3 linked regions of the Callithrix jacchus genome follow. The protein of the gene in region 3 interacts with the protein of the main gene of each other region in a pairwise test. Links are inferred from orthologs where the notes say so. Each region holds a gene or a part of one and is shown on either strand. Other genes may lie near its edges.

Evidence for each region.
Region 1: the proteins of PNMA5 (region 3) and ZBTB25 interact in binary tests that used the Homo sapiens proteins (3 or more experiments, as listed by UniProt). The two-hybrid records come from large-scale screens. The link is inferred for Callithrix jacchus from reciprocal best matches to the Homo sapiens genes PNMA5 and ZBTB25.
Region 2: the proteins of PNMA5 (region 3) and TBC1D22B interact in binary tests that used the Homo sapiens proteins (3 or more experiments, as listed by UniProt). The link is inferred for Callithrix jacchus from reciprocal best matches to the Homo sapiens genes PNMA5 and TBC1D22B.

Annotation. Positions count from the first base shown.
Region 1 is NC_133509.1:99,156,250-99,160,549, reverse strand, and holds the start of ZBTB25 (zinc finger and BTB domain-containing protein 25), read left to right. Parts: upstream 1-1,500; 5' UTR 1,501-1,646; intron 1,647-1,648; exon of another isoform or gene 1,649-4,300. UniProt on the Homo sapiens protein: May be involved in transcriptional regulation.
Region 2 is NC_133505.1:45,599,969-45,603,979, forward strand, and holds the start of TBC1D22B (TBC1 domain family member 22B), read left to right. Parts: upstream 1-1,211; 5' UTR 1,212-1,358; coding exon 1,359-1,414; intron 1,415-4,011. UniProt on the Homo sapiens protein: May act as a GTPase-activating protein for Rab family protein(s).
Region 3 is NC_133524.1:149,111,165-149,115,443, forward strand, and holds the start of PNMA5 (paraneoplastic antigen-like protein 5), read right to left. Parts: upstream 2,801-4,279; 5' UTR 2,717-2,800; intron 960-2,716; 5' UTR 832-959; intron 389-831; exon of another isoform or gene 245-388; intron 148-244; 5' UTR 86-147; intron 1-85.

The sequences.
Region 1 (4,300 bases), on a different chromosome or scaffold from region 3:
AGAAGCGGGCTCTGGGCACGTCAATCAACCGCGTTCTCCCGCCTCCCGTCTACACCTCCCCTCCCCCCTCGAAAAAAATAAAGGCAGAGAAAGAAAGAAAAGAAGGTAACTAATTTGGGAACTAGTCTCCATAGGGGCTTCTCCTCCGACTCGGGAAGGCCGCAAGCCCGGGACCTGACGCGCCAGCAGCAAGCAGGCGGCCTGGCAGCCGCCTGTCGCCTGATCCTCGCAGCGCGTCCGCCGCGCTCCGGCTCCCCGCACGGGTCGGCGCCGCTCTGGCCCCGCACTCCGCCAGGCCCACGGCTCATCGCCCTCCGGCCCGGGCCAAAGTTGCGCGAATAGCCCCACAACTAGCAAATACTTACCAGCCGCAGCAGGAACCAGAGCTGCGGAGATTTTAGGGAGTTTAAGGCAAATCAGTCGCGGAAAAGGCGGGCGGAGGCGAAGGGGCCGCGAGCTGCAGTGGCGGCGGCGCTCGGCGCTCGAGCTGGGCTGCGCGGAGAGGCTCTGGCTCTGCCAGGGACTGTGCTGCAACAAAGGACTTCCGCTGCCGCACAGCCGCGCCTGCCGCACCGCACTGAGCCGGCCCCGCTTACGCGGCGACTCCGGGTCTGCCCACCAGTTCGCTGCGGCGTCCGCCAGCCTTCCCCTCCCTCTCGCCCGCCCACCCACTCTGCCGCTGGCTGCTAGGGGCACCCGCGGTCGCCTGTTTGTTGCAACAAGTTTCTGCGTCGGGCTCCTAGGAGGCTGGCGCAACCCGCACCGCAGGGGCCCGTCGCGGCGACGGCGGCTTGACCACCCCTCTCGCCCCTCTCCCAAGGTTAGGCTTGGGACCTCCTGCTCCTCCTCCTGTTTGCACAGCTGGATGGGACTGGGCTCCTCCCGACTCCCCAGGGCAGGATGCGAAGCTGCTTTCCCACTCCGTCCAGATGTCAGACCCCTGCCCTGTTGGGCCCAACCGCTGGGCCGTCCCTCGCGGTCCGCCTCGGGTGCTCCGGCAACCTCACCCTGTCCCGTCGGATCAGGGTCGCTCAGTCCCCGCGCTCCCTCACCCCACCATCCGCGGGCCTGTCCGCCTCTGGCCCTGACTCACTTCCCCCGCCAAGCCCCACCTCGCCTAGCCCGCCTCTCCACCCAGGCTCCCGCGGCTCGCCCTCTCTGGCCCGGCGCCCTCATCCCTTCCCCAGCGAACACGCGGGCGCATCCTTCCCCACCCCCACCTTCACCCCAGAACTGAGGGGGTGTCTGTGCTTTTGCACACCCTGGGGAAAGTCCCCGGGTCACGCGGTTGTTTGTGGGGAGCCTCTGACGCTCAGACTTGTCCCTACGCTTCCGCCTAGAGTCACGACTGCGAACTGTAGCTGCTGCGCTCAGAACGCAGGCAGACCCCCGCCCGGCCACTCTGGCGGGCGGGAGGGCGCGCACGTATGCACGCACGCACGCACGCACAGCCTGGCCCCAGCGCCCCTAGTTCCCCTGTAACCAGGCACGCGGTCACGTGAGGCTATCGCGGGCTGCTGGCGCGGGAAGCCGCGCGAGAGCGGCCCGCGGGGGTGCGTGAGCCGGTGCAATCGCTTGCCGTGCGTGGCGTGGGAGCCCGCCCCTCCTGCACGGAGGCGTCGGCCTGCCGCCGCGGCGGCGTCTGGGTAAGCGACGCGGCCCAGCCCCTGTGGGCTGCCCTGGGTTCAGTCCCTCCCGCCGCGAGCCGCCCAGGGCGGCGGCCTGCAGCCTCACCGGTCGCGGACAGATGCAAGTAGCTGGGGAGAGGGGTGTTTTTGGTCCGATTGAGATGTCAGGCAGGGCACAGGAGGAAAATAGCACCGCAAGTGAGCGTAGGGCCGACGATGCCCAGAGCCACCCTTCGCTGCTCCTAGGAGCAGCCGCCCGGGCCTGATTCTGGGTGGCGCACGGGGTGCTGCGAAGGCGCGGAGCCGTCCCCGCTATGGGTCCGGGTGCGACCCCCAGCAGGAACCCCCAATAGGCCTGCGCCGTCTCCCGGCTGGTGCCGACCCCTCTTACGAGTGGGCGACTTTCCAGATGCTGCGAGGACCCTGCGGCTACTGTTACCACTCCCAGCTTGTGATTACCTAGTTTCTAGGGCAAGAAGACTCTCCGCCCCGGCCCTCATAATTGATTTCTTTTTTATCTTCAAATTATGTTTGTCTCGTTTTAAGCAGATGCAGTTTTTCTTTTTGAAACTTGCTCCATCTTATCATAGCCTTCTCTGGCACTCATTATTTGGAGTAATCAGGTGTTATCAGTTGCGGAGGCAGCGCATAAGGCAACCTAGTACCTGGAACCTGATAGCACCTAGCACGTTTCCACAGTTAGCGCCTGGATCTCCCTAAGGGATTAAATGTAGCATTCTTTCTCTTGAGACTCAAGTCCTTATGACAGAGCTGTTGATTCTCTCACAAGATTCTGTCGAGTGGGTAAAGTACACTTTGGTATCTCAAATTTTAGAGCCGAGAGGTGGTGCCTTATAAAATCTGTTTCATTCCTCTCGTTTTACAGAGAAGACACCAGGCCTGAAGAGCATGATGTAGCTGGAGCTAGCTACACTTCTCAATAGCTAGACTCCAAGACTCCAGACACCTTGGTGATTGCACTCTCCACCATGCCAGGACTGCAGTGCCAGTTTAACCCACTCACCTGTAGAGAGTGTATCTGCCGGAGGTCATTATACTTGGGTTGATTCAGGTCATGGAGAAATCAGGCATGGCCACTGTGATGGCTCTGGAATAGTGGGGTTGATAGTATTTCTAGGTGAGGTAGGCCGCTTATGGTGTATTTTTGGAGCTAAAAGCCTGCAGGCACCCCCCCTCCTCAAAATTTCATTGCTATTCTCTGCAAGAATAATGATGATCATTTACAGTCTTGGTTGCTTCCTTATGTTAAGGCATCAAAGTCTTCTTTAACAATCTGGATATATTTTAGTTAAGGATAAATCATGAATCCATGATCGGACATCAGCTTCTTAATAAGAAACTGATGGGATAGAACAGGGACTAGATTAGTTCTGAGAGCTGGGAATCAGTGAAATACCAAGGTACGGTCGGGAAGAAAGCAGAGAGGGACCGCATAACCTGTTAACACCATTTTTGTCCAGTCTTCCTGGAATGTCTTATTTGCATGTAGTAGAGATGGATTCTGCCCAAGTTGGGCCGCCGTTTACTGAGTAGTTGCAGTGGGCCAAGTCTCATACTAGCCGCTTTCATAGATGAACTTTGTATCTTTACCAAAAAGGAGATGGTACTGTCTTCATGTTACTAGCCTGAAGAAACAGGCTTATTACCTGGCTGTGGTGATGTAGTCATTTGCAGTAGAATTTAAGATCACTTATCTCTCAAGTCCAATCAGTGCTCTTTTGCATTATGCCTTGCTCCTGCTTCAGCCGGGAAGGGAATGAGAATCGCCTGTGGCTGATTTATTGGCGCCTGTGGTTGCCCAGAGAGGCCAAGCAGGACTTTCAGCTGCCCTCTATGCCTTACAAAGTGGAGCTGTGAGCTTCCACCCTATCTCCTGAGGGGAATGTGAAGGAGCCAGGCTGTCTAGCGGGGGGTGGGTGGGGTGGGGGGGGCAAGTGCCTTGGCCGTAAAATATTCTGGCCAGGGCTGTGCTGGGAAGTGTTGCATAATGCCCTCCCCAACACTGAACCAAAGTGCTTTATTTACTACCGTCCGTAGCTGGTGCCTGACCAACTTGTCCATTTTAGCAATAACAGGGTAGAAAAGACTTGAGGGTTTTATATGATTGCAGGTTTTTTCCTTGTTCTAAAAAAGCAGTGCAGGTGCTCTTATCTTGATAAATTATAGTGCTTCTTTCTACACCACTTCCTGTGCGCCTTTTCTGCATATTTATTCCAAATAGCATGTGAACTTCAGTCTTTTAAGAAGAGAAAGCTAAGAAAATACTCCTTCAGTTTATTAGCGTAAGCTATGGAGACAGCCCTGGCTTTTTATCTCCACTTTATATCGTTTGCTAAATGTGTGTCCTAAGCCTAGGATTTTTCCTTATTTGTAAAATAAGTACATTTGTAAAATGGAAATGAAAACAATACATGAGTCATCACAGTGAAGATTGAAAGAGATAATATATATAGAGCACTTAGCACAAGGCCTTGCATATAGTATTTATTCATTATAATAATAGGTTTTGAAAATAATATATTATATTAGAATAATATCATAGTAGTATCCCTAAGAAAGGAAAAATTTTGCTACTTGAACCTGCTTAGGGATAGAGGAGGAAGAAGAAAGTGTGAAGCAAACATCAGTTTCAGGATTGTTGAGTAAATTTA
Region 2 (4,011 bases), on a different chromosome or scaffold from region 3:
AAGAAGCGCCAGAGAAAGGCAGGTAAAATGATTAAAAGAATAGAGGGGTGACTGGGAGCTGGAGGACATATAAAGAAGGTCCTTCTTTGGCTGGGGCCAGGGTTCAGGTCCTTAAGCATTCTCCAATGTGTGGAAGGACCCATGGGATCAGGTCTTCAAGTATTCTCCAATATTTGGACTTACATGTGGTAGCTGTGAATGGGGGGTGGGTGAGGGGGTGGGGGACACGCAGCCCACCTCAACAGTCCTTGAATGGGACAAAAACCACTCTAGACTGGTGCCTGCTTTCTCTCCCCAAATCACCACGGAATACAACCATAGAAACTCAAAAACAGTAAAAAACACCGACAAGATATTTTAAATGCTAATATTAAATCTCATTGTGAAAATTAGATTGAAAATAAATCCAAGGATGCAAGATTTATAATAGATTAACAAGGGAAATTAAGGATGTTGGTGGGTGAGGAGGAGATGTATCCTTAACTTTGTGATTCACACGATGGAGCTATACTGTGTCCTTCAGAGAAATGGTACTTGGTAATCTGAGTTGGACGGCTATCATAAACCATTTCCTATACACTGTTAGCATAGTCAGAAAGTGAGAGTTATGAATTGACATCGGGATTAGATAATTTGAATTTTTCACCCACAGCACAATTCCTTCCATCGTTTTCAATAAACAGAGCGAGAGGGAGACTCTGATGAACTGTTGCTCACGTGCTGAACCGTTAGCAACCCCGGGCTATCGGATCCCTGATGACCTTCCTTCAGAAAAACGAACGGACATCTAAACGGAACGAGGAAGGGGAGGGTAAATAACCAGAGTGTCCCTGAGTTGAGAGATGTTAAAAATGGAACACAATCAACACATGGGCCCTTACTTTTAGGTTAAAGATTCCTATACATAAATACATCTCGCCCTTGCCAAAAAATATTAGATTCAGGAAATTCATTCCTCACGAAGAAAATAATCCCCTCTCTTCCATTCCTTAGGTCCCTTACTTTACCTGCTTCTTTCCTCTCGAGGGCAGGAACTTTGAGCCCCGCCTCTCTGCTCCTTCAAGCTCCGCCTTCCCCGTCCACCTGTATGCCCTGCCCCTGACGTTACCCGTTGGCTTCAGTGGCTTGCAGGATTCCGGCTTCTGATTGGCCGGCCCGGCCACGGCTTGCGCAGCCCACCAATGGCAGCGGCGCTGGGTGGAGGGGTGCCCAAATCCAAGATGGCGTCCCCAGGAGCTGGGAGTGGGTGACCGGCAGCGGGGAAGCGGCCTGGGTTGGCCCTCAGATTGCGGGGTCTGGGGGCATCTCTCCAGGCAACCCCCCTGGCCCGCCTACAAGGCCTTCCCCCGGCCAGAGCAATGGCCGCTGAGAACAGCAAGCAGTTTTGGAAGAGGAGCGCTAAGCTGCCGGGGAGGTGAGCCCAGGACGCTGAGAGGGAAAGGGGATTGGACCAAACCCTTCCAGATCCTAATCCCTAATCCCGCGGGCCTGGGGCGCCACCGAGGCCGGAAGACTGGTTTGGGGAAGCCAGGCGGGGAAAACTGGGGCTGCCTGGTGGCTGCAGAGCAGCTGTCAGGCAGAGGAGAGAACAGCGAGCTTTGGGGACGGCTGGATGTGGGTGTAGACCGGGGTCTGGGGGCGGAGGTTTCAGGAGGGGTGACCTCAGCTGGAAGGTGGCCGAAGATTGGGCGTAACCCGCAGTGGAGTTGGGAGATAAGTCAGTGTCGGCCCTGGTCTCGGAGGTTCATCCCCAGAGCTGCTTCCCACTCTAATCAGAACTCCCTCTCAGTGGTCTCCACCACGCACAGGTGGTTGCTTGCTTGAGGATGGCCCCTTCCCTTGTTCCCCTAGCTGGACAATTACCCGAAGGATTCTGGTGTGAGTTTGTGGCTTCTTGCCGAGAGGGTTAGGTAAGAAAAGTGAGGACAATTCTCAAGCCTGACCTTACTTTATCTTGAGTTGGCCCTTTCCCACTAGGAATTAATACAAGGCGACCACAGAATCAGGGTTATTCCTTTGGCATTTTCTAAGGATTTGTCCAACCCCAAGTGACTTCTTCCTTCCTTGCATTGTAATGCTCTTCTTGTGCAAATGTACTAAATTCTTTCATTCTTCAGTTGTTTCGCTGGAGAGCAGACCTCCTCAGACTACCCCCCACCCCTTTTTTGGTGTATGTTGAGACTTTTAGCAAATTACCCATCCATCAATCTATTGGTTTACTGTTTCAGTTTATTTTGGGGAGAGTCCTGAGAAGTATAAAGTAGAGTGTGTATTTCAGTCGTGAATTTAAGATTTCTGCCAGCCACAGTCTACTTGGTGATGAAATTCATGTTTGGTTGTGCCCCACGTGCTACCTTTTCTAGTGGATTCAGGTTTTTTCCTTGTGAGATCATCTTTTGAACTCGTGATTTTTTTTTGAGACGGAGTGTCTCTGTTGTCCAGGCTGGAGTGCAGTGGTGTGATCTCAGCTCACTGCAGCCTCAAGCGATTCTCCTGCCTTAGCCTTCTGGATAGCTGGGACTACAGATGCGCGCCACCATGCCTGGCACATTTTTGTATTTTCAGTAGAGACGAGGTTTCACCATATTGGCCAGGCTGGTCTCGAACTCCTGACCTTGTGATCCGCCCACCTCAGCCTCCCAAAGTGCTGGGATTACAGGTGTGGGCCACTGTGTCCAGCAGACTTTATTTATTTATTTATTTATTTTTAAGCAAGAGAGAAATGTGGGTCAATAGTGGCTAGATAAGAGCCTTAATTTTTTCTTTTTTTAATGAAATAGAGACAAAGTCTCACTCACAATGTTGCCAGGGCTAGTCTGTAACTCCTGGCCTCAAGTGATCCTCTTACCTTGGCCTCTCAAAGTGTTGGGATTTCAGGTGTTAGCCACCATGCCCCAGCAAGTCTTATTTTATTAAGGATCCTATTAGACATATGGAGAATAGGGTGGAAATCAGCTTTTAGTAATATTTATTAAAATAATAGGAATGCAAAGATAACTTCAGATTAAAGTGCTGTGGATTTACAGTGTTAATATTACTGTTAAAGATGTTCTATGTCTTTAGGTAAGCACCACTTCCTGCCAGCTGATTCGTTTTCCTTCCTGGTCTAGTGAGCTCTCTGGTTGTGCTGACTGCTATTCTCTGGGATTTTCCATAGTGAGATCATTAAATTTTGACATCCTAAGATTATAATCAGAATCAATAGGAAAACTTGTATCAGGAAGCAGTGTAAGAGATGTGCGACATGGCATGGCCTTCTCTGCCTTCTGACTGGTGGTTGCTATTAACAGTCTTTTTTCCCCATATCTCCTGTGTTTGACTATAGAAGAGTCAACATTTTAAAAGCACTACTTTTCTGAGATAGGAAGAGAAGTCTTTTCAGTTTCCTCAAGTTTCTGGATTCCCTTTTCATTTTGAAGAATATGGAGAAATTGAGAGAGGGCCGGGAACAATGCCTCACACCTGTAATCCCAGCACTTTAGGAGGCTGAGGCGGGCAAATCACGAGGTCAGGAGTTTGAGACCATCCTAGCCAACATAGTGAAACGCCGTCTCTACTAAAAATACAAAAATTAGCTGGGTGTGGTGGCGCTGTAGTCCCAGCTACTCGGGAGGCTGAGGCAGGAGAACAGCTTGAACCTGGGAGGTGGACATTGCAGTGAGCCGAGATCATGCCACTTCACTCCAGCCCGGTGACAAAGGGAGACTCCATCTCTAAATAAATAAATAGACAAAGCAAGACTCCATCTCTAAATAAATAAATAAATAAGTACATAGAAATAGAGAACTTTTGCCGGGCACGGTAGCTCACGCCTGTAATCCCTGCACTTTGGGAGGCTGAGGCGGGCAGATCACGAGGTTAAGAGATCAAGACCATCCTGGCCAACCTGGCCAAACCCCGGCTCTACTAAAAATACAAAAATTAGCTGGGTGTGCTGGCGTGCACCTGTAGTCCCAGCTACTTGGGAAGCTGAGGCAGGAGAATTGCTTGAACCCGGGAATTGGAGGTTGC
Region 3 (4,279 bases):
AAGGCTCAAGTCATTGTGTGGAGAACAGAGTGTGGTGGGTCTCCCCAGGCAAAGATCCCCCCACCTCACCACACTCCCTGCTGACCTCCTCCTGCTGTGGGTTCCTCCTCGATGTCCAGAGGACTCAGCCGGGTGTGCTGCAGGTGCCTGTAGTGAAAAGGCCAACGTCAGGAGGCAGGGCCTGACACCTGAGGACACTGACAAGCCCTCCAGGCAAAAGTCAGGAGACTGCCCCACTGCTCACTCAGGGCTATGTGGGCTCAGGTCACCTGGCACCCTCCTTGCTGGAATGGAAGTGAAGGCTGGCTGCAGGAGAGGTGGAGTGGCCGTGTTTCTCAGGAAATGCCTGACAGAGGAGAAAGATGGCCGGAGCTCTGCGCAATGAAATGAGTGGTGGGTGTGGAGATTGTGTGAGAAACTGCAGTGTTGCCATGGATACAGAGCATACCATGGACCATGGGTTGCTATTGTATGGTAGTGTCATGTGGTGAGGCTAAGGCCCTTGAGAAGCAACAGGTGATGTCATCGGTCTTCATCCAATACAGCATCCTAGCAACAAGGAGGGTAGGTGAGGAAAGGGGAGGTAGGCATGAGGAGTGAGTGCTCAAAGAAGGACAGGAGTTCATGGTTTAAATTGTGTGGAAGGTGAAATCGGGCAGAAAAGGGACGCAGATAAGGTCCCTACTGCCAGACTGCAGGAAACGAACAACTCTTGCCCTAGCGATGGCCCTATCCTGCAGAGTTTGCGAACCCTGCAGTGAGTCCTGTCTCCTCACTCTTTGCCAAGGTTCCAGAGTCCCTCCCACCAGAGCCCACCTCACAGCTGCTCACCTTGCTGGGCTGGCTCTGCTAGCAGCGTGGAAGCTGCAATAACAGCCACTTCACACTTGCTGCGCTCTTCAGCTCTGTCCAGTTAGGCAGCTACTGAGTTAGCAGTGACGGGTCTTGCTTCTCTGGATCTGTCCAAGGCAAAGCAGAGGTATTTTGTTGTGATTGTGTCCCACACACACGTCTCTGCTCAGGCCACGGCAGTTGTGATTCTGCAAAGGTGTCCAGTAGTACTCTGGCGCAGCCACAGAAGAAACTGCTCAACTGGCAGAGGGAGGAGGAGGGAGGAAGGGGGAGGGGTGCGGAAAGAGGGAGTATGGGAAGGAATGGTGAGGGAGGTGGAGGGTGGGGGCTGGTGGGGGCTGCTGATAGGACAGAAGGGATCGTAGGATAAGGTTGTTGTCCCACCCCCACTGCAAACTCTACTCGCTCCAAAGCTCCGCCCCTGCAGCCATGTTGTCCGAAGCTCCGCCCCTGCAGCCATGTTGATCGGAAGCTACGGCATTGCAGCCATGTTGCATCGCTTAGCTACCTCACCATAACCACCACACGTTGCCAAGGTCCACGTGCGTACACCTAAGATCCACCTCTACCGCAATCCCAACCAGCACGAAATCCAACCCATTTCCCCACCCACGTCTAACTCGTGCTTCAACCCTGCCCCCACCCACGTCTGTTACCTCAACCCTGCCCCCACTCACAGTTGAACTCGTGCCTCAACCCTCCCCCCACCCATGTCTAACTCCTACCTCAACCCTGCCCCCACCCACAGTGGAACTCGTGCCTCAACCCTGCCCCCACCGACGTACAACTCGTGCCTCCAGCCTGCCCCCACTCGCAGTCGAACTCGTGCATCAAACCTCCCCCACACATGTCTAACTCCTACCTCAACCCTGCCCCCAACCACAGTCGAACTCGTGCCTCAACCCTGCCCCCACCGACGTCTAACTCGTGCCTCAACTCTGCCCCCACTGGCAGTCGAACTCGTGCATCAAACCTCCCCCACACATGTCTAACTCCTTTCTCAGCCCTGCCCCCACGCACAGTCGAACTCGTGCCTCAACCCTCCCCCCACCCATGTCTAACTCCTACCTCAACCCTGCCCCCACACGCAGTCAAAGTCGTGCATCATCCGTGCCCCAATGTCTAACTCCTACCTCAATCCTGCAGGCACCCACAGTCGAACTCGTGCCTCAACCCTGCCCCCACCCATGTCTAAGTCGTAACTCAATCCTGCCCGCACCCAGAGTCAAATCCGTACCGCAATGAGTGACCACTCACGAAGCCCAACTACTTACGCCATACAAGTCTAACCCCCTGTACCGAAATCCAGTACGTCCGTTCCCGTTTCCCTCCATCTCTACCCTGTTATCTACATAAACCAACTACCAGCACCAGTGGAAGGCGGCAGGATCTAGGAGAGAAGATCCGAAGCCGCTCTTCTGCACGGACAAGGGTCAAGAGTTGAGGGTGGAACAGGCCTCCAGAAAGTATTTTTTAATTTGTTTCTTTTTGAGACGAATAGTCTCCCTTTGCTGTCCACGCTGGAGTGCAGCAGGCATGATTTCGGCTCAGCATAACCTCCGCCTCCAGGGTTCAACCTATTCTCCTGCGTCACTGTCCTGAATAAATGGAATTACAGGTCCCCAACACTATGCCCGGCTAATTTTGGTATTTTTAGTAGAGACGGAGTTTCACCATCTTGGGTAGGCTATACCTCCTCACCTAAAGTGATACACCCGTCTCGGCCTGCCCAGCCTAAGGTCTCCCAGAAGTTCTGCCTGGAAAACTATGGATAGCAACTCCTAGGCCCTGTGGAAAATAGCAAGTTATTGGCGATATACCCCCTAATCTAGGTTGCTTTGTATGACCAGGCCCAGCTCCGTACCTGTCAGAAAGGCCTGTAAGCTGGAGTGATCGCGCAGCGCGACCACCACACGTCTAAGGCGGCTGCCGCCTCTGTGCCGAATGCGCCTCCAGGCTATGACAGGAAGAGGTTGTCTGGTAACGCCTCCCCGCCCAGCGGAAGTGCACACGGCCCACTCACAGTTGCGCACTAGTGACATAAAGCATTCTATTTCCCGCGCCAAGCAACTCCTCACCCCCACCCCACCAGTTCGAGCCCGCACTTTTGAGAACATACAATACAAACAGCTGGCAGCCATTTCCATTACAGACTAGATGCCTGTACTTTACTGGCTGGACAACGGTAGCACCAGTCTCTTCATACACGCCACATGTACCCAATAGGCCACATGACTACACGTACTACCTCAACATCACAGATCCTGTTAAAGGCTGTGGCGGGAAGAGGTTTTTGGGTGATGACCCCCACCCTAGCAAAACTTCACACGGCTCTTTCACATTTGTGCAGTGGCCACATAAACCTTCCTACTTCCCTATCAAGAATTCCTTACCCCACCCCAACCCTTGCCAGACTGTGCCGGCCTGCGCCAACCTTCACCTTTGAGGAAATACAATACAAACAGTTGGGAACTACTTCCATTGCATACTAGCTCGGAAGTCTATAGTTTACTGACTGGACGATGGCGGCAGCTATTCTCCCCACTTGCCACGTCACCCAGCAGTCATTCTGTTTCTTTCCCGTGGGAGGGGAGCTATGCCGTACCAAGCCGTGTGTGAAGGGCCAGGTGCAAATCACCGAGTACAACATATAAGCCATGTGTAACAAATAGGCCAAGTGAGCGTGTGTACTACCTGAAAGTCACACACCCCTTTTCAACCTGACGCGGGAAGAGGCTATCGGGTGATGACCGCCCCCTCCCCCACTGTAACTCCACACAGCCCACTCACAGTTCCTCACCTATGACACAAACCCTCCTACTTCCCATGCGACGGGTCCTCACCACCCCACTACCACCCGTGCGAGCCTGTGCCAGCCCGCACCTTTTAGAACAGACAATAAAAACAACTGGGTGCCACTTCCATTGCAGACTACCTCCCACGCCTGTAGTTTACTAGCTAGACGACGGTGGCACCCAGGCTCTTCATTTACCATGTGTCCCAGCAGCCATTGTGGTTCTTTTCCACTGGAGGGGAGCTGTGGTGTCCCAAGCAGTGTCTGAAGGACCTGGTTCACATCACTGGGTGCAGCATATAGGCCACGTATAATGAATAGGGGGTGTGAGCCTACTTACTACCTGAAACTCATAGCACCTGTGTATTTTTTATTGGACTGCGTTCTGGGGTAGGAAGGTAAAAAATACAGCTACGGCCTGCATTTCACAAGGCCATAATTTTTTTTTTCTGCTTACTTAGAGCCAGATGACTGAAAATACTCTATTCTCCCATTATTCTCCTGATTTCACGGCCTACTTCAAGATGCACACAAATACCCTGGCAATCTTTAAAAAATGCAAGTTCTCAGTGAGGAGGCCTAGTGCAGGACTGATTCTGCTGAAAGCCGGGTGACTTGCTGCCTACCCCTGCC